Oreochromis niloticus: one gene and its partners. The protein of the gene in region 2 binds, or shares a complex with, the protein of the main gene of each other region. Links are inferred from orthologs where the notes say so. Each region holds a gene or a part of one and is shown on either strand. Other genes may lie near its edges. The genes, in order: ppp4r3b, ppp4r1l, ppp4r4 and smek1.

Region 1 (8,019 bases), on a different chromosome or scaffold from region 2:
GAATTTTGCATGAAATTTGTCTGGATACGATGCTAGTCAGAAAATATGTTATATAATGATGTTTAACTGATATATCTAAATCTGTGTTGCCAGGTGTGCCCATCTCTTCTGCTGTGGCAGGTGTAGCCATTGGTCTCATCTCCAGGGCTAACCCAGAAAAACCTGCTGAGATAGAAGACTACAGACTATTAACAGATATTCTGGTATGTCCAGTACCGTCGTTGCTTGTTTGTGATCAGTTATTATCACTAAACAGTGGAAGAGAGATTTTAGTTGAATGCTCAAAAGGTTATAACAGATGTTCCTGAGTATGACAGATGTTGAATATGAGCTTATAACTGTTTTGTAAACAGGGAATAGAGGATTACCTGGGAGATATGGACTTCAAACTGGCGGGAACAAACAAGGGTATCACTGCTTTACAGGTACTGCATTGAGTAGCTTGTAATAAGTGTCTAAAAAAGATCTTTTTAGAAGGAAAATTAATAAAGCTAACTGAAGGGACATCACTTTTTCATAGAAATGTTTTACTATAAACTGTACTTGATGTGTAAAATATTAAAGAAGAGACCAATATAGTGTTAGAGCTTTATTTTATTATCTTTTTATTATAAGACAACATTAATTTGTCTCTGTAACGCCAAGTTAAGCAGGATTCTTCTTAGTGAAAGTGTTGCTCTGCTTAACGGACTGTGTGGTGGACACAAGCGAAACATTAATGTCTTTCTGATAAAGATGAAATGTATTAACAGTAAACCAATGATAGCTACTAATTTTTCTTTATTTTACCTCCAGGCTGATGTGAAGATTCCTGGGTTGCCACTGAAGGTGGTCATGGAGGCAATCCAACAGGCCACAGGTAGGCCCAAAACTGAGAAATATACCCTGTATTAAAATTTTATTTGCATGGCTCTTTTGTGGCATTTGCCTGTTGTTGTGTTTCAGTGGCAAAGAGGGAAATCTTGGGCATTATGAACAAATGCATAGCAAAACCCAGAGAGAGCAGGAAAGAGAATGGACCTGTTGTTGGTAGGTTATGCATGAATATGTATGTATACAGAAATATGCAATATTTAATAGAAAGTTTTTAATGTCATCTGTTCCAATATGTGATGTTTTCTGTCTTCAGAAAATGTTCGAGTACCTGTCTCAAGGCGAGCTCGCTTTGTTGGCCCTGGAGGCTACAACCTCCGCAGGCTTCAAGCTCAAACAGGTAATGCATAAGTAATAAAGTCTGAAAAAGGCAACTTGGAATGTGATGGTGACGTGATGCTAATCCAGCAGCACACAGATTCGTTTTTTCATAATAGAAACTGTTGTCCAGAATATAAAAACGTCACCACATTTTCTTCTTTGGTTTCAGGTGTGACAATAAGTCAGGTAGACGAGGAGACTTTTTCCGTGTTCGCTCCAACACCAGGAGCCATGAACGAAGCCCAACACTTCATCAGCGAGATCTGCAAAGACGATGTGAGTCTCCCCCTCTTGTAATTACCTTCTGTCTTTATTCAGAGCCTTTCAAAAATTGTGTTAAAATGTGCTCTACAGAGAACCCGAAACAAATTAAAAAAAGAGAAATATAGTATAAAGCTTAAGCAAGATGGCATTTAAACAAAGAAATAAGAGAAATAATCCTGATCAATACACTTAAAAAAACAGGAAAGCTCTCAGCATGCTCTAATAAAACAAGGAAAGAGGTTTTATATTTCTATATTTCTATATTCTGATAGTTTCTTTGCACCCTTTTATGCACATTTATAAACTCAATTGCTGTTTTATACCACAATGCAAACATTACCTGGATAAACAAATCAAAACATTAAGAACAACTGCTTACACATATTACACATATTCATAATGTATGTAGGTGAAAATTGGTGTATTTCTTTGTTTTGCAGCAAGAACAGCAGCTGGAGTTTGGTGCTATCTACACTGCCACCATCACAGAAATAAGGTAAACTAAAACAATGCGTTATTTACCAACAAACAGTGTTTGTTTACAGTTATTTCCCCACACTTGGAAACTGATTTATGTATAAATAAAATCTTGCAGCCTTCATACAGCTCATCTGTTCTTCTGCTCCTCTGCTTTAGGGACATTGGCGTGATGGTGAAACTTTATCCCAACATGACTCCTGTCCTGCTGCACAACTCGCAGCTGGACCACAAACGGGTTTGTGAATTTGTCTGCGTAAAATGGTTTTCCTTTTGAGTCTGATGGTAGAATTTTTACTTAAGTCACTTCCTTTATTTTCCTTTTAGATCAAACATCCAAGTGCTTTGGGTTTAGAGGTGGGACAGGAGATACAGGTGCGTCTCGGTTACTGCAGACAAGGCATTGCTAATTTCAGTCTGGGATGCTTGTATCTAAACTGTGTTCTGCTAACAGGTCAAGTATTTTGGACGGGACCCAACAGATGGCAGAATGAGGCTTTCACGGAAGGTGCTCCAGTCTACTGCTGCAAGCGTCGTAAAGAGACTGAATGACAAACAGAGCATCTCCATGGGTTCAAGCGACATGCAGACGACCAGTACAGATTCGTGACACTCCCCCATGACTGCCTAACTTCTGGCTTTTCTGTCAGAGTAGACTTGGACTGAGTCAAATTTCCCTTTTCAAACAACAGATCTTGTTATGAACTATACATAAAGAAGGTTACTCCGCTGCTGAGAGTATGGATGTGGCAAAAATGCTGCTGACATCATGCCTCGGAGAATTTGCACAAACAAAGGGATAAGACGAGGAGGCAAACATTTTCAAAAATACAAGTGTCTACCCATTTTCATGCTCTGTTGTTTGACTGTATCAAAGTTTTAAGATTTTTCTTTCATTACACAACAACAGTGCTTCTGTCATTCACGTGTGTGATAATGTTGCCTCTTGAGGCATATTTGGTATGTGCTGTAGCAGTGTGTCCACTAAAGAAAAGAAAGGCAAGTGGGTGACGTGTTAAAGAGAGGTGTTTTCTTAATCTTTATATGGTGTCGCATTTATATTATATGTGAGTAACTAAAATGTAAATAAATAACCAGCCACGGGTGGGCCACATGCCAGTGTACTCCTAGTGCTGTTACCAACCATGGATAAATAGGTCAGGAAGGGGATCCGATGTAAAATCTTCAAATCAAATATGTGGATCGTCAAGAATGAACGACTACCAATGGTGCTGTTGACCAGCAGGGTGCTGGTGGAAACTGCTGTGCAAGGACAAAGAAAGAGGAAAGAGGGAGGCAGCAGGAGAGAAGGAAAGGTTTGGAAATGAGAGTTGGGACTTTCTGTGTCGGGATTATGGAGCTGCCAGAAAGGAGGAAAAGAGAAGCTTCATTAATGTAGAGAAGGAGGACCTGCAGAGAGCTCGTGTGGCAGAGAAGGATGTAAGCGATAGGGTGAGCTGAAGGCAGATGATCCACTATGGCAGCATCTAAAAGGAGTAGCAGTATGGAGACGTAATATGTAAATAAAGTCATTAATGATTGCTTTATTCATGTCTTTAAGTCAACAAAACACCTTCCAACCATGCCAGAATGTACTGAGTGCATGCTTGTCAAATTTTCTTAATAAAAAGCTGATTTAATTGCATGTTTCAGTGGCCACATGCAGGCACACAGGTACTGCTTCAGCATGTTTTAAAAAAGACATTTGCTTCACAATAGGAAAGGTTCATCCAGTGGGTCCTTAAAAGAAACTGGATGGTGGAGATGATAACAGGAGAGCTGTAAAATTTCAACATTTATTTAAAACAATTTATTGCATAATATTGGACAGGGAAAGATCTAATAACTCTTTGGAGTCTTACAGAAGAATTAAGTGTTTCTCTGTTCAGCCTTAATCTAAAAGTCTTAGTCCTAATATGTAGGGTTGCATCAGGAAGGGCCTACAGAGCTGGAGAGAGGAGGAATGAAAATCAGTAGAAGCAAGACAGAATACATGTGCATGAGTTTAAATACCTCGGGGCTACCATCCAAAACAACGGACAGTGAACAAGACAGTATACGCAGGGTGGAGTGACTGTCGAGGTAATTTGTGGATATGTTGGACAAAGGATGTTGAAGATGGAGCTTGCCAGACAGGAGGACAAGAGGATGACCTCCGAGAAGATTCATGGATGCAGAGGAAGGTTGGTGTGACAGGAGGATGGACTGTGATGGAGGCAGATGATCCTCTGTGGCTCACCTTTCTCTGCAGAATAGTTTTAATTCAGTCATGTTGGGAGTTATTTGAACATGAACGGCCTGTTTAAGGTCATGCATCTAATTTAGGTCCCAACTTTGAATAGACCAATTCCAAACCTTTGTTTTGTTTTTGTTTTTTTTGTGACATTGAGTGAAGTTTTGGTGTTTTGGATCATTGTCTTGCCACATAACCCAAGTCTGCTAAAATTTCAGATGGCTGGACATTCTCCTTCATGATTTTCTGGTAGAGGACAGACTTCACGGTTTCATCAGCTGCATTTTCCAAGTCATAAAGCAGCAAACCAGCCCCGGACCATCACACTACCGTCACCATGTTTGACTGTTGCTTTGATAGTCTTTTAATTAAATGATAGTTTTACTTACCAAAAAGTTAATCTTTTGTCTCATTAGTCTGAAGAATATTTTCCTAGAAGTCTAGGAATTTATGCCAAAAAAAACATTAAGATTTTATTCCTTTCTCTCTTTCTCTGTAGATCATGGCTTGAAGTGTTGCTTTTTCCAAGAAAAATTCCTCGTTTGTGTAAAAAAAAAAAATTGGCAGTTATGATTGTGATTAATTAACGTGAAAAACTCTGTTAATCTTCTGCGTTAAGTAAGTATCTGCTTCCTCTATGAATTAAACAAGCTGAACCAAATCACATCTGTACATCATGCCAACATCTGCAAACGACTGTGGGTGCTATTACCTATCTCCACCGTAGGTGACGCGGTGAGCTGGGGGAGCCGCAGTTCTGCCATTGGACGATGCCGCCCGGGGGAGGAGACCCCGCGGCAGTTAGCGCTTGATTGACGTAGAAAAAGAAAAAGAACACAAGATCGGATTACAAGATGGCGGTCTGTGGACGTTAGCAAGAAGGCCGTTAGAGTTGTTGTGTTCTCTCAGAATTTTACAGTTTAATATTAGGCCCCTTAATAAGTAGATTCACGTCGTAATATGTTTATGAAATACCTACTAATATATTTTGCTGCTGTTGGGAACTAAATTTAAACATGCATGTTTTATAACATGCGGTTGGAAACAAAGTTAACAGGTCGAGGAAAACACTAGACGGGTGAGGTGATAGCTTGTTAGCAGAAAGCTAGCCTGCTAGCTCCGACTCGTTTAAACCATGTCGGACACTCGGCGGCGAGTGAAGGTATATACGCTGAATGAAGATCGGCAATGGGATGATCGGGGTACCGGGCACGTTTCGTCTACATTTGTCGAACGACTGAGGGGGATATCGTTATTAGTTCGGGCTGAATCGGACGGTAAGTTCCCTGTTAGCATAGCTGTTACGGTGGTTAGCATGCTAACTCCTGGTTGTTCGGAGAGAGCGCTTCGATTGCCCACAGTGGGTACCAGATTACCTTATTAGACTTTTTTTCTACATGTGGGGCAGACTTCACCGTCATAGTGCCAGAACTGTTAATATTAGGCACGTCTCTCAATAAATTGCAAATATTTATTGAATAGCTGTTGCTAGCATGCTCATTAGTTTGGTCCGACGGGATCTCGGTAGCATGGTGCCCCTGAAAGTCTGAACGTATAAACTTGTTATTGCTCTTTGTGGTTCATGTATGTGACAAAGAAAGTACATAAGGTTATTACAGTAGAACCCAAGGCCTGTTGTAGTTATTTTACCTTTGTGTTTGAGCATTTTAGTTTAATTCGATTGTTTTTTGTGTGTGTATTTGCATAGCCATAACTGTTTATTTCTAGACAGAATAACAAACCTCGTCTTTAAAGAACCGGTTTTCTAACTGGCTTGAATATTTAGTCACCTATATCTCTGTGCTTTAGGATCACTGCTATTGGAATCGAAGATAAGTCCTAATACTGCATATCAGAAACAACAGGTAAGTTTTTATTATTACCTGAGTCTGGCTCAGTTACAGATAGCACACACATTTCAATAATCCCAACACTGGTTTGAGATCTGCTGCTGGATAGTTACTGTAATCTAGGCGAGACAGTAGAAATTGGCTGACTGATGCAATTGTAAACTTGGTATCGAGTAATAATCGGGTAATGCCATGAGTAATTACCACACATGCGCCACACCTGTTTGTAAATTAAGGTGTCATTAGAATTATGGCATAAATAAGAAGTCTTCCCGCATTTATAGGTAAGTGTCTGAAAGACAATTTCCACCCTCCTTTAACAGTGAGCTGCTGTAGTTAATGAAACCTTTAACTAATTCAACTTAACCTTAACCTTGTAACTCTTCAGGAGCTGCACAATATTGTCTCATAAATAAAGAAAAATATTTTCCACCTTTTTCTAAATATTTTTGCATGTCTTTAAAATTACTGCTCTTTGTTGAAGGTTGAATAACTTCCTTTTTTTTAGGTACTGGAGGCTGACAGCAGCTCTTGTTCTCAGACATGTTGAGGCGTGTTTTGTTGTTGTGTTTTTTTTTTATGTATCAGTGTTATTGTGATATGACACTTTTATATGACCTAAAAATTTATAGCATTATTAATGATTAAGGTCGAGTCTGGCTAACTTCAGGTTTATTCCTGGATTTCCGGTGTTTTGGAGGTGGTTTACTTCTTATGAAATAGATTACTCTGGTAATTTACACTCCACACCTAATCTCCTCAGGAAAGGGTCATGTTTGAGACAAGAGATCAATTGGATCCCATGGAACAATTATTTCTATGAAATAATGCATGGAAGATCAATTAGAGCTTAGTGTGCAGATAGTAAGAGAATCTGAAGTTTGTCTCAGATCAGCATCGGTAAGAAATAGAGATTCTTGGGGGCAACTTTATTCCTTGCTTCTTTCCTGTTGACTGCAAACAATATTAAAACAACTTTATTGTTGTGTAGGCTGTAATACGTTGAAATGATACTAAAACAGAGAATTTAAACCTTTTCGTTTCTGACGTCATGAAACATTTGCAAGTTGGCTGCTTACCTGTTTGAAAAATTTTATTTTGTTAAATTTTGTCTCTACTTGCCCTTAGACTATTTCAAATTGAGTGAAAGAAGCAGCAAATCTAAATGTGATTAGCTTCTTTTTATTGTAATATAGTAATGAGGTCTTCCCAGATCTTTGACAGTAAGTTTGTTGCCTTAAATTATCAGAATTTGTACACACTTTACTATTTACTTTGATACTTTAATCATTATTACTTTAAGACATATATAACAATACTACAATACTACACAGTGCTTTTCTTCTCACACAGACTGACACTGTTGTTTTGGCTGCAGCAGTTGTGTTGCAGCGAGTCTGTATTATCTGTTTACCTACTTCATGTTATATAATGCTAATTTTATAGCATGATAGTATTCATAAACTATGCCCCTCAGCTGCTAATAGACCGGTTCATGTTTCTGGTTGGTCATGCTGCCATTGCTGCCTCTTTCATGTGAATGTGGTCATAGCTAGATCGGAAAACGCTCGTTTGACTTAGAGTTGATAACCACCTTGGTGAAGCTAGGTACAAAAAAGATATTCTGCATGTGTTTAACTTGCTTTGTCTGTTGTAGACTTTTGTTCAAACCATTTTCATACTCTGTGGATAAGTCACTGTCATGCTAGAGGAGTGCATTCCCACCAGGATAGAAAGCTTTATCCCTCAGATACACTTCAAGGATTTGCACCCAAATCCTGCCAGCAATACATACAAGAAGGCATAACGGAGCCACAAGATCCTCTGTCTGCAGGAGTTAAATGTTGACGTTTTTATTTTCGTTTGCTGCCTGTGTGTGTGTGTGTACATTTGTAGGCATGTGTTCAGTTAACATACAATTTAATGAATAAGTGTGTGTGTGTCTGTAAGTGCCTCCTGTGAAAGAGTTAAGCATGTCAGTGTGTAAAGTTTAATAATCCT
Region 2 (7,738 bases):
AGAAAACAGCCCCAGTGATGCCCAGTGAGTACTGATTAATTGCAGAAACCACAAGCTGGGTGTGTAATGAAAGGCACCCTCCTATTCCGGTAGGACGTATGCTCCCTTTTGCTTGTTTTCTGTAAGAAGGAGCAGTCCTCCAGGGGGAGGCCTGGATGGGCTGTTGACAGCTGGGCTCAGATGTGCTCGTAAGGCCTCATCTGGTCTTGAGATATGGGTTTTGCTTGTGGAAATCACTGAGCTTTCCTTTCTGCCCTAGTCTCTCCTTTCACATGCATTGGCTGGCTTTGTGTTCCTCTTTCTCAACTCCACAGATTTCAATAGGCCAAAGCTCCATGGAGGTTAGAAAACAAGCCATGAAAAGCCTCCAAATACCACAACAGTCTTGTAGGGAAAAAAAACACGCAGACACATGCGAAACCTACCAAAGGAATGTTGCTACTTTTTCAGTCGCAGATGTGAGGCACTTGGAAGACCGAGAGGCCACATGGGCATGAAAAAGTGAACAAAAATGCGAGGAAAAAAAACAACCCAGAAGAAAATTAAATAAAATGTTGCACAGATGAAAGCAAAGGAGAAAAAAAAAAGAGGACATGATGACGTAGAGTGGCACTGGCTCAAAGATAAGATACAGCAGCAGCGCATGCCAGTGAGCTCAGAAAGCTTGAGTTTTATCCTCTTGTCTGATCTTAAATTGGCTTCCTGAATGTCCCTGAAGTCCACAAAAAAAAACAGAAGCCTCCCGGGGGAAGGGGGAATAAAACACAAGCAGCATCTTATCTCACCTCTCCAGAGAATGCAGCACCAGGGGTACCACAATACAATAGAAAAGACTTACGCATGAGAAAAGGAGAAGGCTGTGAGCATAAAAAGGGAAGTGGCGTGGATATCTAATGCAGAGAAAGGTTGGCTATAGCGTGAGTCAAGCGAAAGCAGTTCCTTATGCTACAAGTGCCTGACAACTGGTGTCGATTTCACTGGCTTAAATGAAAACACCAAAATACACCTTGTCTCCTATATCACATATCATTCGCAAAGTGTGATTCGAGTTCTGACCATTGCATGGGTGGCAAAATATTTCATAATGTATATTTACAAACAAACAGCAGAGCAGATCAGATAAGAAGAGCTGCATCGGCATATAAACTGCTGACAAACAACACTTTGGAGAAGTGTGAAAGCATAAAATAACATAAAACAATGCCACTGGTTCCCTTTTTTGTTTGTCTCCAAAAAACTAACACAATGACGAGAAGGAGAAAGGAGGAAGGGAGAGAGATCAAAGGCGACAAAAGGAAAAAATGTATCTTTTTTATGTGACTTCACTCACTAAATTAAAATTTGGAAAAGGAACTCTTAGAACAAGAGTGCTAAAAGAAGTTGATTATAAGTGAACTGGCAGAACTCTGCCTATAGTAAGGTAAATATTGCCCCCTATCAGAAGTTATGACTAACTGCAGTATTCAGTTTTCTTATGGTTGGGTTAAGGAATGATGCATGTACGTGTAGGCAATTCTTTCACATCCTTTCAAAGAACACGGTGGGGATAAGTAGACTGTTCAATACTACAAACAGGTTGATGGTATAGTAAAAACTATTCACTGAAACTGTTACGGTTAATACCTCAGCAGATAATACTAACCCGCTCCTGTCCTGCCGTGTCCCAGATCAGGAATTTGTGCAGCTCATTTTGGTATTGCACTGTTTTGGTCATGAAGGATGCACTGGTGAAGAGAAACATGACACACTGCAGATTTAAAATAAACAATTGCAGATTTTTTTTTCTGTTTAACATTAAACTGTATTCTAGCAATAAAAAGCTGATTTACATCACATCAATCTGAGCCAGCTCAGAATTGGATTCTTTAAGTCTGACAGCAAAACTAACATTTGGTCTCAATTGCAAAACTGGAGATTTCAAAAACAAAATTTAATAACAACCCCTCTGCCAATAATCATCAGATATTTCAAAGTGCCAAAAATAAGTGTGTGGAGCAGCTGTTTGTATCTAGTATTTATTATTTCTTCTCTTCTTAAAAAGCATGCTGACAAAAACGTTTAAAAAAATACTAAAAATTCCTGCCACCACATATCAAACTTGAGTTTTAAAGATGTTTATGTTACTTGAGTTCAAGCAAGAAAAAATTGACTTTATTTTGTACAATGTTATTATATACAAAAACTCATTTATTCATCCTATGAAAGGCTAAATGTCAAAACTGCACAGTTCAGTTGTAAAGCTGTTTTCTTAGTTCCTTGTTTGAAAATGTCAGAAAGCAAATATTGTTCATAATTCGTTAAAAATTTGTTGGACGAAAAAGGCTGAAACACCAAAGTTACTTAGTTTAGCCACAGACAAAGAACACAAGAAAGTCCAGATATTTTGAAATCTGGAGCAAACAAGTTATTTAAGAAGTGATTTTCATGCCCATTTTTTTGCCAGTGGTTAATTGATAACTCTAATGGGCATTATAACGACCTGTAAAACTACAACAAATGAGAGAGATGGAAAAAATAAAACTTCTGTGGAAGTGGAAGGCAGCAGAACATACCCAATAGTTGGATTAATGTTTGGGTCAAAGCTGTCCTCCACAAATCTCCAAACAATACTCGACTTTCCAACTCCAGTATCCTGCAGAGACAAAATAAAGATCATGCTTACTAAACATGGTACTTGAAGAATATGAGAACAATCTTTGGCAATATGCCTGGACATTAAAACATTTTTATGGGATCCTTTTCCTTCCTGGCACTGCTGGTATAAATCTGTAAATTACTTATGGAAGAGGAAAAAGGGTTTACATTGTTTACATTAGGAGAAAAAGAAGAGGACAAGTCTGACCTAAGCGTTATCACGAGATGCTCCCACAGACAATGGTGGTTTATGCTGCTGCTATAGCAGTCTAGACATGGATGTTTTGTTTGTGTGGTCCATCAGTTAACCATTTATTCAGTAACATATCTTGTTTTAACTAATTTAATTATCTTAAAGATGACCAAAATGATGCATAATCAGGGTTGTCACAATTCTTTTCCAGTCTGCTAGTTAATGAACTGACTTATTGTCTCTATGCTATCTTAATCTTATTAGTAGATCTACAGAAAATGAATGGCTAATCATCCTGTTTTGTTGTGTGTCTTTTTTTTCCAATTTAAATATGCATTAAGTAAATGAGCCTGATTTGTAAAGAAATGCTGCAGGAATGACAAGTAATGCTGTCTAACATAGTTACAGATGTGTGTTGAAATGAAGGGACAAAAAGCATCATCATAAAATGTTTTGGTAAGCTGCCAAATAAAGCAGCAGAGCAGCTTCACCGCACCACGAATTTGAGTCACGGAAACTCTACTAAAGGTGCACACGCCACTTTTATGTAAGCTGTTCAGTGATGGTGTTGGAAGGCCTGTCTGACAAGTCAGCACAAAATGTGATATGAAAGATGACTGTCAGTGTCATAGCAGACATTGTTTTCATGCTGGTCATTCCATTCAGAGAGCCCTCATGGCCTATGGACGACAGCACTGTTTCCTGTTAGAAACTACCGTCAGTGTAGAAATGTTTCATGGCAGGGTAGAGGTGACCACACCATGCAAAGGATGTCGCTAAATACAAACCAGCAAAGTCTTCCTGCTATCAAAATAGAGCCACTGTAGGGGCTAATAGTGAGATTTTGCAGGTTATCACAACTTTAGTGTATGAATGTACACATAGTTTCCTAGAGGCCAATGTGACGACGCCAAATGTCTTGTTTTTGTCCAAAAGAGATCAGAACTTAAAGATATTAAATTTACATTGACACTAATGATTGAGATTTACCTGATCTATTCTTAAAATAGCAGCAGGCTGACTATTTTCTAATTTGAGTAATAGTGACTAATAGTGACACTAATAGCTTGATTAATATTGTCAACGCTGATGTAATCCTGTAAGTGGATGACAGAGAAGAGAAGATGTGAGGATGTTCCTCCAGCAGTGGATAATACAATTTGAATGGGACGTTGATCAAGTGATTGATGCCTTGTGCAGCTGCTGAGTGCAATTCAATGTAGATAAGCATGAGTGCTGTCACTGGCGCAGATCTATTTATTTATTTTGAGGTTGTATTGCCACTCACTATATCAGAAATTTTCACCACGGTCCATTAGAGAAGTATAGGTATGTGTTATGTGGAAGTAGAGTAGGACAGCTCCATTAATGCTCCAGTTAAAGTGTGCATATGTACAATCAGATTGAAAAATATCAATGCTTACTCACCCCCAAGAGGCAGACTTTTAACTCTCTCAGAGCCATATCGATCTCCTCTCTCACATCGAATTTGAGATGAAGATCATTGACTGTTTTCTCCTCTGCTTGCCTTTTTTTTTTAAATCTTGAATATTCTTCAGGTGGTCTTTGTTTACAAGCAACTTTACAACATCGTGGTCTGAAGCTGGCATACGCACATCTTAGGTCGGGTAACAACTCTCGCTGTAAACGTTAAAACGTCCCGCAGGTCGTCGTATTTGCCATGTTGTGATTATTGTAAACAGCTACCTCCACCACATCGCTGAGTCTCCATCTTGAACTACGGCATGTGGTCACGTGACTGCTTCGGCTTTTTTTTTCTTCCTTTCTTCTTTTTTTTCTTTTGGAGATACACAAAGCCCTCCCCACAGGCGCTATTTTAATCTCACTTATGTCGATTTTTTGCCCGTGATGAGTAACGATTTTCGGTATAGTTGTTTAATACGTAATTAACCAGTGAAAAGCAGCATCAGGAAGTACTTTCAGGAAGTAGTTAGCCTCAGTGTTTGAGTGACAGCTGTGCGGCGGTGACAGCCCACACGGGACGGCAGCCCGCAGAGCCGAGCCGACGCTCAAGATGGCAGGTAATGGCACTTTTTAACCCGTGTTTTCTTAAATATTTTGGCGCTGTGCTGGCACTCCTAAAGCGTTTTGGGGCAGTTGAGGTTTGTAGTAGTTAAATAGCGGCTTCTACTCCACTTCCTGTGTAGTACTGCCCGGCGAAGTAGGAGAGAAGTCAAGCGAAAGGGCTGGACAAGCCATGTTAGCAAACTTAGCAGCATCTAGCAAGCTAAGCTAACCAAAGCTCCTTATGGGCTATCGAAATGGGTGACTTTGGGACTACACTGAATCATATATTTGCTCAGTACATGTAGATTATTTTTTAGTCTCTTCAGACCTCGGTGGGAGAATACTATGACCGTGTTTATTATCGATCTGTTATCATAGCAAACGCGAGCGAGTTGACCTAGCCAACGTTAGCCGAGTTGCTAAAGTCATGTTCAGCCATAAGCTGACCAAATCCTGCTTTACATCACAACAAAGGCGCGATGTTGTTCTGTGCCAGCGTGGTTTTTCGGGGTGTTGTTATATATGTTATGCCGTTGATTATTCTACTCATGAAACGCCTCGTTTAATGTGTGATTTCGAGGTAGGCACTGTATTATATTTAGAGCACATTCCCTTGCTTGCCCAGCTGTAAACACTGGCTTCTCCTCTTGGGACTTATTTCTGGTCTCTTCCGTTGACTACAACCCCCCCATCTGCTATTGTCCTATATCGAGGGCTGGGTGGTATTGAAAATAAACAGTGAGAGAAGGTCTTCTTGTGCTAGATAACGTGATTACTCACACATTTGTTTTTGAAAATGTGCTAATTTGTAAAAAGGGGGAAAAGAACTTTAAATGGATTTAGCATAGGGCTGTAAATATAATTTTAAGCCATCTAGATTATTTTTATTGACTTAGTACTTCCTACGATTAAACGAATAAATCCCAACCAATATAGAATTCGACTTTTATCAAAAAATAAATAAATCTGATAATTACCTGTTCATAGTTCATATATATGGTAGATCCGAAGATATTTACATATGTTAAGGAACGAATATATAAATTAAACTGAATTCAATTGATCAGCTTAGGTCTTGCAGGTTGGAGAGGCATTGAGGCAAGACTGATGGTTTGGACATGTAGAGGAGGGGATGGTGAATATGCTAGATAAAGGAAGTTAAAGATGGATCTGCGAGGCAGGGGGGGAAGAAGACCACAGACAAGCTACATGAATGTAGTGAAGGAGGACATGTATGATTGATGTGAAAGAAGGCTGGTTAGAGATAGTGTGAGATGAAGACAGATGGTGTGCTGTGGCGACCCATAATGGGTATATATATATATATATATATATATATATATATATATATATATATATATATATATATATATATATATATCTCATAAATATAGTTTTTACATTGCATTTTGCAAACTACTTGGCAATTTATCATGACTACGTCATTTGACTCTGCTACATTTGATGCGGAAAGTGCTGAGCTGAGCCAACAGCATAGCTGCTGTGCTGGAGAAACTGTTATGACAGCAATTCTGAATTATTGAGCCGTGTTTTTATATCAGCACATATCAGACAATACAAGTGCAGACCAGTATGATGCATATGAGACGGGCGACATGCCGATCTGGCCTTATTCAAGATGTTTGGCATTATTCAATGAGTTGCTTGAAACTTCTGATATGGAGCCAGTGGAAAAAATAAAAATAAATAAATTTCACCTTGAATGGCGTGATAGTGTAAAGTTTAACCTGGAAATTGAATTTTCCATCAACTAACTCTGCAGTCATTAATCATGACCATGTTATGGCTTTTTGCAACATGAAACACAAACAAAAAGTGTGTTCAGTGCTGTGGTTGGCTGCAATTGAATGCACAATGAGGGGTGGATTTATTGTATTAGGTACATCAAGCTAAAAAGAATGCAGTCCAATACAACCTTATATGTTTTGTCATAATCAAGAATTTAATGTTCAGTTTAACACAAACTGTCTGGAGAATGAAGGCCCTCATGTTATGCTATATGCATTGTAATAGATGTTTGTTTTGTTGAATGCATTTTCATCAGCGAGGATTGTCAGAAAAACAAATGCATTAGCATTTAATAGAGAGCAGTTTAATAGCACCAAACTGACAATTGAATGATCTCACATCATGATAATAACCTGCATTTTTCTTCTCTGCTTTTATTGATGTGCAGTTGACCATTGCATCTTATTAACTAAAGAAAACTGTGCAATGAAGCAAAAAAAATGAAATTCTAAATTATTCTTGATCAAGAAAATTGGGGGTGGATATCAGTTTATTGTTTCTTTAATTGATTCTGCTTCCTGTTCAATTTAATTTGTTTGGAGAAAAAAGTAGGCCTAGACAAGTTTTCACTGTTAAACCAGCTTTTATTATTATTACCTCTTTATCTGCTTGACCATGTTGATGGCCAAAAAAAAGGGGTTTTATTAAAAAAAAGGCTTGCACAAGATTAAAATGTGTGAAAGCCCCAATTGCCAATTTGTGGTCATTGTTTTTGCCAACACTGATGAATGCTATTTTGATGAATTGCACAGTTTGGTACCGGTTTTTAACTGGAGTCAGATCTCAGCTCCCTTCGCTAATCACTGTGATAAGTATTGATTGGATTTGCTTCTCCTCCAGGCCACAGCAGTGACAATATCACTTGAATGCATTAAGTTTCGCTTTCACCGAGTGATGACATTAGGGAGACCACTGTGATTTATTGCTCGGAGACTTTGCCCCCCTTAGTAATTGACTTACTGTAAATGTGCCATTCAGACCACGGTGTCAATAAGAGTTGGTTCTTCCGCCATGGATCCCTACCTCACTAACTGCCTTGTTATTGCAGGTCTATCTTTATACTTTGAAGATGGC
Region 3 (7,134 bases), on a different chromosome or scaffold from region 2:
CCATGTGTTTTCTGTCTCTCAGTGTCAAGTCTGCGTTCTTGTTTAGTAATTCATGTTTCCTGTTTTATTGTGAAAGTCTTTGTCTTATGTTAGTGTGTGCAGCTTGGTTCCCCCCGTCTCGTTAGCCCTGATCTCTCCCAGCTGTGTCGCCCTCCTGTTGTCCATTCCCTCATTACTACCCTGTGTATATAAGCCCTGTGTTTTCCCGTGCTCGGTGTCGTGTCGTACCATCAGATCGTGCCTGTGTGTTCACTTCATGTTTTGTTTTCGTACCAGCAATAAAGCTGAGGTTTTTGAGTTTCAAGTTAGTGTCTGAGTCCTGCGCTTGGATCCTCCTCTCCGCCTGCCCGCACGCAGAGCCCTGACAAACAAGGTCTACAGATGTCTTTAATTTCTCAGCAAGTTTAGTCAAATGGTTTAATGTAAGCATCCTGTCCTATTATGACACTTGAAGCTGAAGCATCACTGACCTCCACATGACCTCTCCTGAAGTGATTAACCACAACATAAGAGTCTGTCTTGTGGTTTAGAGGTCAGATCTCACATCAACTGATCACTGAGCAAATGTGGTGAAAAACCATTGACTATATAACAGGCATAGCCTCTCTGACCTCACTCATTGGTTTGCGGGTTTTGTTTTGTTTTTTTCTTTAAGTAAAAAGTGACCATATTTAAGTAAGAATGTTAAGCTGGTAGGGATTCCTGAAAACTGATTGGATAAACACCTATGAGGCCTAGTATTTACATAAGGGCTGAGTTATTTTTTTAAAAAGAACTCTGCCAATACGATCATTCCAGGAATCCTGGCTGACAAACTACAACAAAGACTCCACTTCCTTAGGATGCTGAGGAGAAACCATCTGGATAAGAAACTAATGGTAGCTTTTTACCACAGCACCATAGAGAGTGTCCTCACCTACTGAATCACAGTTTCGTATGTTAATTGCTCAGTAGCGGACAAGAAGAACCTGCAGAGAGTCATTAAGACAGCACAAAAGATCATTAGCTATCCCTTACCCTCTCAAGAGGACATAGCCAGCACTTGGCGTTTCAGGAGAGAAAAGGAGAAGATCGACGCTGACTTGTCCCACCTTGGACAGCACCTCATGCCCTCTGGTAGGAGGTAGCAGTGTTTAAAAGGCATTACAGCCAGGCTGAAAAATAGCTTTTTTTCCTGGGCCATCAGAACATTGAACACTAAGCCTAGTGAATGGACCTAGTGAGCCTCACTTACCAACCCTCAACCTGCAATAGTCCAGTTAATATTCAGTACAATGTTCACACAATGTTGCCAAATTTAACATTACATCATAGTGCAAAACACCAGCATGACATGGCACAATATACAATAACACCCACACTCAAGGGCTGCTGCTACCTACCAGCAAGAGCCCTTTTTGGCAGAACTGTATTTATGTGTATTTAACTTGTATATTTGCTATTTTAATGTTAATATACTCACTCTTTTATTTTTACTATCTTACTATATATAACAAGTTAACCATTTTAACTACATGTACAATTAAAATGGGTCCATGTACAGGACACAAAAATCTGGATTTCCCAGAAGCTTATGATCATGTCACCCTTAGAGTAAATTAATAAAGGAGCCTAACATTTTGTTGCATATCAGCACATTTTTCCATCATGAATGAACAGTGTGGATATAAAAACATAAGCAGGTGAATGAAGCTGAAAATCTGAAGAGGAAACATCTGAAGTCAGATGTCATGTTACAGACATAAAACTGGAGGGTTTGCCCAACCGTAGCTCAAGCTTTTGTTCAAGCAGAAGTTTTTTTAATGTGAAATACAGATGACAAATCAACCTTCACATAAAACACAAAGTAAAGCTTTATTGGTGATTAAGATCACCTTTAACTCCTGAAGTAAGGTAAGTAGCGTTGTTAGAGGCTTAATGAGAAGCAGAAAGCAGTAGGTGTCCTGACCTCTGACCAGGATCCTAATGCACTGCAGCTGTCCATAATAAGCAGCTTCATGAAGAGCGATCCAGCCTTCATCATTTGGCTCCATAAGGCTGCTTAACCGCCTCCGGACCAATTCCATCAGAGCCTCTGCATCCCCACTCATGATGATGGACTGTAACGGACTGACCTCTCTGAGGGAACACACAAACCTTCAGAACGACAGACTTGGAACCAGAGTCAGATCCAACACAGAGCCGCTGCGCTGGAATCAACACAGAGTCAAAACCACGATAACAGAACCAACAGATAGTCAGAACAAACACAGAACAAGAGTAGAACGACAGAGTCACAAGCACAGAGCAAGAACTAACACAGAGTTAGAACCACAAGTCAGAAACAAGCCCTCCCACCTCCTCACACACACACACACACACACACACACACACACACACACACACACACACACCCTGCAACCATCTCCAGACTGTCTGACACTCACTCTGAAATGTCTATTGATCTCTTGCTGCTTTCTGATGTTTGCGGATGTTTCCATCCTCTGAGCTCCATTTCATTCCGAACTGACTCACCTCTTGTAGACCTTGTAGAGAAACTGTGACAGGGCTGTGGGAGGGTTTATACAGTTTTGGATGTGGGGGACAGGTTCAGGTGCAGAAACCGTTTGCACCCTTTTGGAGGGGTCAGGACCTCTGTGTGTGGGGTTAGGGTTTGTTTGGATTGGGCCTGATGATGATGATGATGAAGCCTGTTTATCAGACAAGCTTCTCTCGACAGCGATCTGCAGCAGCTCCTCATCTGCCAGGTGACTGTAGATGCTGTAGTCATCCAGGTTCTGCTCAGAGACTGCCATGTCAGACAGAGGAACAGGAAACGGTTTGCTGTCTGTGTTTCTCGTTAACGCCAGCAGCGTGTGGACAGCAGTGGGTCATCCAAGGTGATGGCGTTTTGGCCTCAGCTGCTGCTGAATGATGTCAAGACTGTGGGTCAGCGGTGTTTGTTTCCTCCAAGCTGAAGCCAAAAATTCAAACACTGTGAGAGCTGGTGTCAGCAATATCTACTGTCCTGCACCCGAAAAACAGCCTCCACCAACAACACAGATGGAAACAGGATCGATGCACATAACCAGGCTCACAACAGCCCAGAAAACTACTAACTGATTTGTGTTATCAATCCTTTAAACCCGGTCGGTCAACAGCAGCCTGATAAAATTTGAAAGACTCAACTACTAACCCATCTCACAGATTTAAATTCAATGATTTCAAACACACAAATTTAACCTAAATTAATTCTAAATCAGAATCATTTAAAAATTGGTAAACACAGAACTGACTGTTTGATTTAAATCTAAATTTGATGATAAAAACAAAACAACATTAAAGTGGATTCAAGTGTGGTTTGAAGTTCCCCATATTCAAACATATAAAAATAAAATAAAACAAACTGTTGATTGGGTACTACCTGTGAAACAATCCAATCAGGAAGCAGCACTCTCTGGTCTGCAGCAGAAGGTCCTGGTTCAGAGTCCGAAGGTCTGATCAACTCTGAGCTTTCATGAGCCGGATCGTCAGCCAACTCTGACACTGAGACTGCAGCTGAAGGTCAGCCCCTGTCCTCCTTCTCCTCCTCCTCCTTCTCCTCCTGTCTGTCTGGTCTCACCTGTCCCCATCTGTTTGCATTATGTGTTTTTGTCTCGGTATGACAGTAAGTGTAACTTAAGTGGCTCACCTGCCTGCTCTGTCCCAACTACAGGTCATTCAGAAACCTCTTAGCATCTAACAAAGGGCCAACAGGGCTAACCTGTGATTACCTGGCCTAAAATGGTGATTGAACACAGAGCAGGAAACAATCTCAGAGCTTGACAGGTGAGGCATTCATCACATAAGCTGTGAGCTTCATGTTCACGTGAAAAAAAAAAAACATTTCAGAAAAAAGACGAAAAACCTGAATGCAGAAAGTGAAACACCTGACCCTGCAAAATAAAACAAATGAGTGCGGATCTGAAGCACGTGACGTGGATAGTTTTATTTGATGGTTATTGAACTTTCAGGTGCGTTTACAGGTGATGGGACAGCTCAGAATGAGAGCGGGTTCTGGATCGAAGACACGTTCTGGACTTTATGAATGAGCACGGACAGCCGTTTCCATGGAGACGGATCAGCTGCTGCACTGCGTCTCCAGCTTAACACCCTGCAGCTCATCTCCCGGTCCCGGTTCAGGTCGGGCTTGCAGCCTCATGACTCCGTTTAGGTTGGCTCAGCCCGCTCTGCTGCCCACGTGTCACTCACGGTGATGAAGCCTCCTCCTCTTCGTCCTTTGGTGTGAAAATCAGCCTCATACCGTCTCTGAGCTTTGACGCTGCCCGGTACCAGTCTGCGTATGACAGACCAACAGAGTGGGCGATTCGGTTCGGTTGTGCACTGTCGAGGATGACGGACTCAAAGGAGCACGGAGGAGCGCAGCCGCAGTTCTGCGTGACGCTCCCACCGCAACCCTGAGCTGAAGCAGGTGGAGAAGATCTGGACTTCGTCAGAATATTTGGAGATGTGCGCCGAACCAGAGAGGGGGTCCATCTGATTCATCCCGCGCCCGGTTTGTGCGGTTTCCTACATTCAGTCTTTAGATTTACTCCGAATAAATTTCGTGTGCGGAGTTTTGGACTGAGGGTGGTGTGAATGAAGAGTCCTCGGGGAATAAAAGAGTTAACTGGAGCTTTTTACATGCAGTCTGGCTGCGGCTTCTCTGCGCTGCACTTGATCTGCTTGGAAACGTGTGACACATCCCGGTAACGGTGTGACGGTTTGGGATGTTAGGGGGGATTTTTCTGGAGGAATCGCAGTTCTGTGAGCGCCGAACCGCAGATCGTGCCGTGAGTGTGTGGACGGGTTTTGTTTGGGATCTCTGATAGCCCTCATCGTGTGCAAATGAGCGCATTCGTGAGACTTTGTCAGACTTTTGAACGGAGTCTGGAGTGACGTTCAGCTCGAGCAGGGATCTCCTTGGAAACGGTTAGTGACAGATCCGCAACCCCCGCCCCCTCAACAGGGATGGTCGGAGCTGATACGACTGCTCCCCCTCTAGCAGCCAGATGTTACCCGGCAGGATGGCCCTGAGCCCAGCTGGCGTGCTGTGCGGCCCGCTGGAGGAGCTGCAGGAACTCGCCTTCATCGAGAGGCCGATCCGTAGGAGCCTGAAGGTGGGTGTGTGTGTGAGAGAGAGAGACGTAAAGTGATGAGGAGGAGGGTGAGTTAGTGGGAGGAAGATCAGCAGTCTCAGTGGAAGAAGCAGAAGGGAGACCCGCAGCATGACGCAGTTAGTCCGCCTGTCTGTCTGCAGAGAGACAGATAGGTCTGAGGTGCACCGAGAAAAACGGCCAATAACTGGTCGATTAATCAGTAATCATGAGAAACAGAGTGAAGCTGTCTCTGATCTAATTTAAGACAGTCGCTAATCATGACTGATCAGTAACTGAAAAGAAACGCGCTGCCTGGTTCTTACACCTGTAGCTGTGTGGGCGGGGTTTCACCATGATGACAATGGGGGGGGAGGCGGAGCTTGGGTGTTCTTACGGGAGAAAGCTGATGCGATGACGACAAACACACCTACACTGTGTGCATGTGTATGTGTTGTTATGGGTGACAGTGGTCAGTCAGACCTCAGGTGAGCTTCTCCGTGTCCTCTCATGACCTTCCTGCACGTGCAAACGCTCAGGACAGTTCCTCATTGACAGACGTAACCTGGAATTATCTGTGTTGCGCCCATAACAAGAGCTGTTCCATTTCTCCAAACACTAAGGAAAGGAGCTTCAGTGCTTCCTTTATTGCTTCCTTTAGCAGAGGAGACACTGGAGCATCCTTTATGAAAGGGAGGAGAAAAAGCCAAATCTTAATTCATAGCATCTGATCGTTCATGAAAACAGTCAACATATTAAACAAAGTGAAGCAGATCATGAGAACATTCATCATAGCTGCATTTTCCATTTCAGGATTAGAATATTTTAATAATCCCTAAGGAAATTATGTGGTTTCATCCATAACCCGTTGATATATTTATAGTTTTTATAGCTGTTAAACTCACAGCTGAGATCTGAACATTACACAGCTGGAATAAAACTACTTCCGGTTGAGTTGTTGCTCCATGAATGCATAACGCTGTATGAGCTCAAGATTATGATCTATATCAGGGGTGGGGAAACTCCAGGCCTCAAGGGCTGGCGTCCTGCAGGTTTTAGATGTGTCCTTGATCCAACACAGCCGATTTAAATGGCTAATAACCTCCTCAACATGTCTTGAAGTTCTCCAGAGGCCTTGTAATGAACTAATCATTTGATTCAGGTGTGCTGACCCAGGGTGAGATCTAAAACCTGCAGGTCACCGGCTCTTGAGGGCTGGAGTTCCCCACCCCTGATCTATATGAGCAGATCAAAGTGTGTGTAAGGTTCTGTATAATCAGTGATCATTAGTAATCATTAGTAATGTCCTTTGTTGTATTAGAGGCTTTAGGAGTCATGTTTACTTCAGGTCAGGTGGGATCAGTGATGATGGAGACAAGCAAAAAAATAATAAATAAATACCGTATACACAAGATAACTGCCAGAGGGCAGACGCTTAAACACCTGGTGTCCTGGGTTTGTGCAGTCCTGCAAGATGTTGCGTGCCTTTTTGAGACAGCGGATGTTACAGCGGTCCTTCAGTGATTTTCTAGGCCATGTTAGCAACCCTTTTTAATCAGAATACTTTAATAAGGAAATTGTGTGGGTTACAGTTGATCCAAGACAATAACAGTAACAGATAGTAAATAATACTATATAATCCAAAGTTTACATAATATAAGAAATAGCTCTAATATATACAAATAGCTCAATTATAAATATGCCTTCTTGTGTGCCATGCTGCGGCTCAAGAACTACACAGAGATGCAATACATCACCACACCCTCAAAGGCCTTCTTCACAATTTCCAAGGTGTTTGAGCTCCATTGGAGGTCTGTGTCCATATCAGAATCAGAATTAATAAAGCATTCTGATTCTGATTCTGATATACACATTCAAGAGCTTGAAGCTGGACACCCTCTCCATCCACTCTATTGACGTAGATGTGCTGCAGGTTGGACTTCCTCCTCCTGAAATCAGTGATCAGTTCTTTGGTCTAGGGGTGTTACGGATTAAGTTGTTGTCTGCACACTACCCTAGC
Region 4 (7,750 bases), on a different chromosome or scaffold from region 2:
AAATCAAGTGATTTTGGTACACAAATGCAGCCTATAGTGTACACCCCAAATAAAGAAAAAAAAGAAAAGAAAAACTAACCACATTATATATTTCATTTAAACATTTTTACCATCACAAATGTTATAGCTCTTGGCCCTGATTTCACTGTCTTTCAGTTTGTTTTTGTGATCTTCACTATGTCATTGTATGCTTTTTTGCCCTGTAAGTCGGGATTAAAACAAAACTAATTTCTTTGTAATTACTCAAATTGAATCATATATCCAATTAATAAATGTTCAGCTATGGTGTAATTTTGAAAAAAAAAAAATGCTTTATTTGCATCTTCATTTCTTGTCGGACATCATTACTGACATGTCAATACACAAGCAGGATAATAGTAAAAGCTACTCTGAGGTGCTCCCAAGTTCACAAGGGGTCACCACAACAGCTAGCTCCAAATGTATGCTGGATGTCTTTCCTGATGCAAACCTGAAGAGATTTGTGTGTCCTCTCAGTGATGAATGAGAGATCTTTCTATGTTATGTGAATGGGTAAACAGCTACACTATAATTGCTACAATTTAGATTTACATTTTTTTACACATGAAATAATTAGCAAGTGAGCTCACAAACTCATTAGGAAGGTAATTTATTAATTTATTTCCCACAAACTTCTGTACAACCAGAAGTCTTTTATGCAGGAGACTTGCAGGGGCTGACAAAGCACTCGGCCCCTGCTGGCCATTAAAAAGTAAGGCACCTTTAGATCGCTTCTCTGCTGACTACACTTTTCAACCTGGATCTATTTTTTTTTACAATGTCTATGATAATTTAAAAGAGAGAATTTAGAATAAATAATGTGTACCTTCACAAACAAAGTCTACTGAAAAAAACCACCTTTTAATCATTACCGTAGCATTATCGGACTTTTATTTTGAAGCCAAAACTATACTTTGGAGGGACTCAATTTTACAACCGGAAGAGTTCTTTTTCACTTCCCCTAAGTTTTTTTTTTAGACCAAACAGCTAAATCGCACGGGGTACTGAGAAGTTACGCTGAATACGATTTTTTTCAGTTTTGCATAGCCAGTAAATAGCGAGGCTTTGCGTTGAAAACAGAGATGGTAAGTGTGCTTTATTTTACATCTAAAGAGCTAATAATTCTCAGTTTAGGCCACACTAGCTTGTGCTAATCACACACAGCTAAGCTAACAAGCGTCGAGGCTAACGCTTTGCAATTCTTGTTAAACACGCATTTTTGCCCACCGCTTCTGTGTTTCTTATAACTTAATTTCATCATCTAATCAAATTACATATTTTTATTAAAGTGAGATGTGGCTGAAGTAACGTTAGGCTGGATGTTTTGTAAAAGACTGATGAAGTCGGTGGTCTGCAGCTGAATGACCATCCTTACACTGGAGTTGGAAAATGTCTGGGCAGAAGGTTACACAAGTTTCAAAAACTCGCAAAAAAAACCTCTAATTAGCTGCCCGATTAAGGTGATTTGGTTTGACACAGAGAAACTGCGTGGCGGTGTGTATTAAACATTATCAATCATTTTACAGTCGCACACAATTTTGCTTGTCCAACCAACCAAGAGACCAGAGGGCCGCACATACGCTGACTATGAGTCAGTTAATGAATGCATGGAGGGTGAGTCTGTTTAATGTTTTCATTCATAATTCATCTCGCAGTTTTTTTTAATATTTACTTTCGTTGTAACAAGTAGTAGCAGCAGATGTAATTGTATTGTATTCATCATCTATTGTGATTCCTCATTCATTTTAAGGGATATTTTTCTCATAGTAAATACATACAAATGATAGGCCAGTAAATAATAAATTCATCCTAGTACCAAGTATTGTTTGTGTATGGGATTATGTGGTTAAGCCTAATTTGTGAAAAAAACAGACTGATAGTAATCACTTTTTAGTTTCTGGAAAGTAAAAAAGAGAACGTGAGAACGGACATGTTTTTTTTGTTTTTTTTAAATTATGTGACTCTTTAAACTATGGACTCAGGAAACCTGAAATTCATTTTTTTTATGTCAACATCCTACTTGTATAGCACAAAAAACTTGTAAACTTGTGCTTACTATAAAAGTTTAAAAACAACAACAACAAAATGTAATAAAGAATACAAAGGGTTTTAAATCTGTTTTTGAATGTCGTGTGTTTGCGGCTCTACATTAATGGATTTTGAACTGCAGTTAAGCTCTATTGAACAGAGATTAATCAAGGTTCACTTACACAAAGAATAATCATTGGTATCATATTCAGAACTGACTGTGATAAAAATACATGAATTTACTCAAGTTATCCATTACGTAGTAATGGGGTTTACAGATAATAAAGGCATTAAAGGGATATGATAAGTAAGAGGTGTTTACAATTGTGTTGTCTGTCTTGAACTGCAGTATACACTTTTCAGATTAAAACTACCTTATTAATCCCAGAGGAAATGATGTGGTCACAGTTGCTTTAAGACAGTAAGAACAGTAAATAACAAATTAATGTACCAGTTAAATACAGGATGTTTCAAAATGGCTCTAATAAATACAGATCGCTCTGATATATAAATATCCCAGGCTATTACACAAAATAAGTATAGGTGATGTGCCCTCTCATCATTTTAACTTTATTTTCTCTGTAAAGGATGTGACATTAACGGTATGCAGCTATTGCTGTTTGTGCACTTCTTTTTTTTTCCTTTCTTTTTTTAAAAAGCTTTTTTGGCTTTATTTTCATGTTCAAAGTGACGCAAAAGGTTTGTTTGTTTTCAGGGTATAAGTATATCACTTTATTCCCTTTATTAGGCCCTCTTTATTTATCCTGTCTTTCTCTTTCACTGAATACTGTACACCGTAATTCGCTATGAATTACTTTTGTTTTTTGCTGTTTTAGCCTTTTCCTGTGGATTGCATTTTTTTGTTGTTGTTTTTGCTGTTTTGCTTCCATTCAGCATGTCATCTGCCTCTCCCCCAGGTGTTTGCAAAATGTATGAAGAGCATCTCAAGAGGATGAATCCAAACAGTCCCTCCATTACTTATGACATTAGTCAGTTGTTTGACTTTATTGATGACTTGGCAGATCTGAGCTGTCTTGTGTAAGTATAATTAGCTGTCTATGAATTTGAATGCAACACAACATTCCCTTTGGATGCATTGGTCACATTTCAATAAAATATTTTACTTTTTATGCAGATATAGAGCTGACACTCAAACATATCAACCATACAACAAAGACTGGATAAAGGAGAAGATATACGTCCTCTTGCGGCGTCAGGCTCAGCAAGCGGCTAAGTCAGTTTGACAGGGGGGATTCTTTCATATTGTACCAAACATGAGGAAGAGAGATTGGAAAAAATTGGGGGATGTGAAAAAAAATTGGGGATTTTCTTTTTGGAATTGTCATCCTTGGCAGCGTGTGTGTGTGTTTGTAATTTGTAATGCAAAGCCCTTTTCAGACATGGTTCCACCACTGTGCTTAAGCGACGGCACTTTTTTCATTCAGACACGTAAGCTCTTTTCACACGTGCACTGCAGCCTGAAGTCTTTCTTGACATTACCTGAGAGAGGTGCATGTAAGAACACAAAGGTGTGATGCAGTTGGATTGGACATTAAATGGATTTCAGCCTGGAACAAAATTCATGTGATGTGCATAGAAACTTAGTAGTCATATTGTGTCTTTTCTATAGGATATTGCTATCATGCAGCTCCCTCGCCTAAACCACATGGAAGGCTTGCTTTTGTGTTACGTGTGAGAAAGAAAAGTTTACACAATGTCCTGATATGCCTGTTCCAACATTTTAAGTTTGTGTGTGACAACGGCTATACTGGCAAAAGTGTCATTGATCTCGCAGGACATTTGCCATACATGAATTCATTCGTATTCATTACCTTTTGAAAGTAATACATTTAAAAAAACTAATAAGGTTAGTTATTTAATTATGAATCTGACATGTGCCATCAAATGGCTTAAAAGGACTACATGTATGAAAAGGGCTTCTTTCTTTTTTTTCTTTGTAAAGACTGCATTGCCCATTTAACAAAGGGAATGTTTTCACATCATGCTCATTGGCAAAAGAGGCTTGGAAAAAATGGGGTGAAATTGTACATTTTGGGCTTTATACTGAAAAATTGGGTCATGGTTGGGAACCTGCATGTTTATAAGTTGTTACACTATGATGAGAAGAATGGGACTTTGTGGGCTAAGCATGGAGAAATACTCCGCGGGGTAGAAAAACTTTCTTTGTGTGTGTTTTTCAGTTTCCTTAAAAGTTATGTGAATTTTATTTTTTTCCCTATGTACATTTTCCTGGGAGGTTGAATTTCAAGACGTTGTGGACTTTGAAAGCAGCCGTTTTATTTTTGAAGTAGATCAGTGGCTGAAGACTGATGATCACATGACAACCCAGGAGATTTGTTACTATAATTAATGGAAAGTTTTGAGTTTTCATTATGTTTTAAAAGCCTACCATTGTGATATAAAACGTTTTTGTAATCCTGTTGTTTTGCATAACATCTGATTTCAACTCTCCATTTCTGTTTTCTTTTATTGAAACAAAATAAACGATTGTTTCTGACTGGTGTCCACTCATAAATATGCGACCATTAGTGCGATGAACACTGAATTTTTATACACAATGATAGTGTGGCTGACTGCTAAGTATTGCAAAAGTTAGACCATTCATGCTGGACGTGGCCTCAAGTTCAGTTTATTTTCTCTGTTACTGTCTCTTTAAATGTGGCGGGCTGCCCTGTTGTTGCCGTGCTGGAAACCCCGTACTGACTGTGAAGGGACCCAAGATGGCTGAATACTCACGGGGGGCACTTAGCAATTATCTGAGCAAGACATCGGCAATGAATGGCAAATAGCAGTATAATGTAAAGCGTAACCTTCAAGTAATTATACGACTCCAGTTTGTTGGTTTGCACAGTTTTTGGGATGCATGAGTAAGAGTAAGGAGAGAGTGGTCTCTCCGCGGCCCCGAGCCAGAACATGGCGGAACACTTGGGGAAGAAATAGCAGCTAACGTTAGCTAGCTGGCGTATTATTTAAAGAAGAATAGAAACATTGTTCCAGGCTTAAAACGGGTGTCTGTTGTCCGCAAGTATAAAGTAATGTTATCGACAGCTAACTCTAGTTAATCTGCTTCAAATGGTAGTTTAACATTGAATATATGGAGCGTAGGTACTTAGCGTACTAGCTAGCGAGTTAACTCGTAAGGGTTGATAGCTAACGTTACCTGTAAGCGTACAAACTGTACATATAAGCAGGAGTGTTTCGTGGGCCAGTCATCGTAACATTTGCTTCTTTTTCAGTACTCTGTTCTCAGCTGTATATTGTAGTGACATTCGTTGTTTTGTCGTTTAACGCGTAAGCTAACGACGTCCTCCGCTCTTTAATTTGTCGTTAGCTTCCTACAATGGTTTGTACGCGGATTCTGCGTGGCGCCTTGCCTATAGTGCTGGCAGTCTAAGTTTTGAGGCAGCTCGTCAAGAAATGCGAGATATTGCAGTAGTAATTTTAACAACGATTGCGGAATCCTGCTGGAAAGTTGTTGAGGCGTTCCACTTTTAAGTTGCTTTTTAGAACTTATCCTAAGTGACCCCCCGCCGCTTCATATTTAGTTAATACTCTTGTAGAAGTGAGCAGCTGTAAAAAGTGAATTGAAGTTGTGGCGTTACTAGGTGAAGAAGACACCCCGTAAAAGGCCCGGAAGGGGAGAACGGGTTACAAGAAACTGCCAGGATGACGGACACTCGTCGGCGAGTCAAAGTCTATACCCTCAATGAGGACAGACAGTGGGATGACCGTGGGACCGGGCACGTCTCGTCGGGCTATGTGGAGCGCTTGAAAGGCACGTCTCTCCTGGTGCGAGCAGAGAGCGATGGTAAGCGAACATAGGAATGCCACGCGATTATTGTAGTAGCTCAGTTATTACTACAAAAACAATACCTTCCGCGCACTAATTTTAACCACCTGTATCACCTGAAATTTGCACATGTATTACTCGTTTGAAGCAAATGCAGTAACCTACAATTTTGGGCTACCTTTGTGTTAAACCTGACAGGTTCCCTTCTGCTGGAGTCCAAAATTAACCCAAACACAGCCTACCAGAAACAACAGGTCAGTACATAACATGATGAACATACAAAACTGAATTTTTTTCCCCATTCTGCTGTTTATTTTAAATTGGCTTTGTTTTTCTTTTGAAAAGGACACATTGATAGTGTGGTCAGAGGCTGAAAATTATGATCTAGCACTCAGTTTCCAGGAGAAGGCTGGCTGTGATGAAATCTGGGAGAAAATATGCCAGGTTAGTGTACTTCATTTGTGTGGGTTTGAGTTTTTTTTTATCTCCATTAGTTTGTGGATTTGATGCTATTTGTGTTACCGGTGATCCCTTATGTAGTTACATCCTGAGGTTCTAATATGTTTGTCCACACTTATGTTTTATTGTTAAGGTGCAGGGAAAGGACCCTTCAGTTGACATCACACAGGATGTGGTGGACGAATCGGAGGAGGAGCGTTTTGATGACATGTCATCCCCAGGTTTGGAATTACCGCCATGCGAACTGAACCGTTTGGAGGACCTGGCCGAGCTGGTGGGCTCTTCTCTCCCATCACCACTGCGACGTGAAAAACTAGCACTGGCTGTGGAGAATGAAGGCTATATTCGCAAGCTCCTGGAATTGTTCCGTGTTTGTGAGGATTTGGAGAACAGAGAGGGACTGCACCACCTGTATGAAATAATGAAAGGCATCTTCCTGCTGAATCGTACTGCACTCTTTGAGGTGATGTTCTCTGATGAGTGCATAATGGACGTCATTGGTTGCCTGGAGTTTGACCCAACACTCCCGCAGCCAAGGCGGCATCGTGAGTTTCTCACTAAAACAGCCCGGTTTAAGGAGGTGATCCCCATCTCTGATCCTGAACTGCGTCAGAAAATTCACCAGACATATCGGGTGCAGTATATTCAGGATATGGTGCTGCCCACGCCCTCTGTTTTTGAGGAAAACATGCTGTCCACCTTGCACTCCTTCATCTTTTTCAACAAGGTGGAGATTGTGGGCATGCTACAGGTGAGATAAGCAGACATGTAGTATGATCTAATAGTATGGAGTTGTTGTTTTTACTTTGTGTAAACACTACATTTTAATTAAAATGGTTTAATTGAAGCAAGTGTTATAAATAGGTAAACTTGTGAATGTACTGTAATCCTCACAAAGGAGAATTTCTTTTATGAAATGTTAGTGAGGCTCGAATTACAGTAATTATAGGATTGTACATTGGTTTTATTTTTGACTGATTGTACTTTTACCCTGTCTGAGATTGTCTGGCAGCCTTTTATGATCATGTGACCTTTGTGTTTTTATCCTGTGTCAACTCAGCATTGTTTATGTATGGCTGTCTCCATGGAGGCACAGTAGTGTTGTGTAAATCTGTTATGCTGCGCTAGAGGAAAACTGAAACGGGCACATTGTTGACTCTGGTGTTCTTTGCTATATCACGCTCTGAAGTCAAACACTACAGATATGAGTCTTTCCTTCCTTAATTAGCATAGGGCAGGCAAGCTTAAATCAAGCGGTTCACTAACCAAGGTTTTAAAAAATATTTAAAGTGGTAGTAGATGTCATTGAATGAGACAGTGTTTTCAGCATAAACAAATCAAAAGTATTCTTATGACCAGATAGGTCACATTGTTTATGCTCCAAATTTCTCATTGACAAACATGATGGAATTCACTTTTGTTTTCTGTGTAATT

The links.
Region 1: ppp4r1l (region 2) and ppp4r3b share a complex: the UniProt entries of both Homo sapiens proteins name them as parts of the PP4 complex. The link is inferred for Oreochromis niloticus from reciprocal best matches to the Homo sapiens genes PPP4R1 and PPP4R3B.
Region 3: ppp4r1l (region 2) and ppp4r4 share a complex: the UniProt entries of both Homo sapiens proteins name them as parts of the PP4 complex. The link is inferred for Oreochromis niloticus from reciprocal best matches to the Homo sapiens genes PPP4R1 and PPP4R4.
Region 4: ppp4r1l (region 2) and smek1 share a complex: the UniProt entries of both Homo sapiens proteins name them as parts of the PP4 complex. The link is inferred for Oreochromis niloticus from reciprocal best matches to the Homo sapiens genes PPP4R1 and PPP4R3A.

What each region holds. Positions count from the first base shown.
Region 1 is NC_031978.2:10,560,830-10,568,848, forward strand, and holds the start of ppp4r3b (serine/threonine-protein phosphatase 4 regulatory subunit 3B), read left to right. Parts: upstream 1-5,013; 5' UTR 5,014-5,303; coding exon 5,304-5,445; intron 5,446-5,977; coding exon 5,978-6,033; intron 6,034-8,019. Other genes in the region: pnpt1 (polyribonucleotide nucleotidyltransferase 1, mitochondrial), read left to right, coding at 94-203, 354-425, 796-859, 946-1,029, 1,130-1,213, 1,364-1,470, 1,899-1,954, 2,095-2,173 and 2 more. UniProt on the Homo sapiens protein: Regulatory subunit of serine/threonine-protein phosphatase 4 (PP4). May regulate the activity of PPP4C at centrosomal microtubule organizing centers.
Region 2 is NC_031970.2:8,136,113-8,143,850, reverse strand, and holds the start of ppp4r1l (serine/threonine-protein phosphatase 4 regulatory subunit 1), read left to right. Parts: upstream 1-4,732; 5' UTR 4,733-4,862; coding exon 4,863-4,869; intron 4,870-7,712; coding exon 7,713-7,738. Other genes in the region: rab22a (ras-related protein Rab-22A), read right to left, coding at 1,643-1,724, 2,553-2,632, 4,256-4,291. UniProt on the Homo sapiens protein: Regulatory subunit of serine/threonine-protein phosphatase 4. May play a role in regulation of cell division in renal glomeruli. The PPP4C-PPP4R1 PP4 complex may play a role in dephosphorylation and regulation of HDAC3.
Region 3 is NC_031980.2:26,953,495-26,960,628, forward strand, and holds the start of ppp4r4 (serine/threonine-protein phosphatase 4 regulatory subunit 4), read left to right. Parts: upstream 1-4,115; 5' UTR 4,116-5,030; coding exon 5,031-5,138; intron 5,139-7,134. Other genes in the region: ankyrin repeat and SOCS box protein 2, read right to left, coding at 1,949-2,118, 2,515-2,795. UniProt on the Homo sapiens protein: Putative regulatory subunit of serine/threonine-protein phosphatase 4.
Region 4 is NC_031980.2:12,515,460-12,523,209, forward strand, and holds the start of smek1 (serine/threonine-protein phosphatase 4 regulatory subunit 3), read left to right. Parts: upstream 1-4,741; 5' UTR 4,742-5,733; coding exon 5,734-5,875; intron 5,876-6,055; coding exon 6,056-6,111; intron 6,112-6,202; coding exon 6,203-6,301; intron 6,302-6,449; coding exon 6,450-7,067; intron 7,068-7,750. Other genes in the region: erh (enhancer of rudimentary homolog), read left to right, coding at 1,101-1,103, 1,545-1,632, 2,964-3,084, 3,182-3,290. UniProt on the Homo sapiens protein: Regulatory subunit of serine/threonine-protein phosphatase 4. May regulate the activity of PPP4C at centrosomal microtubule organizing centers.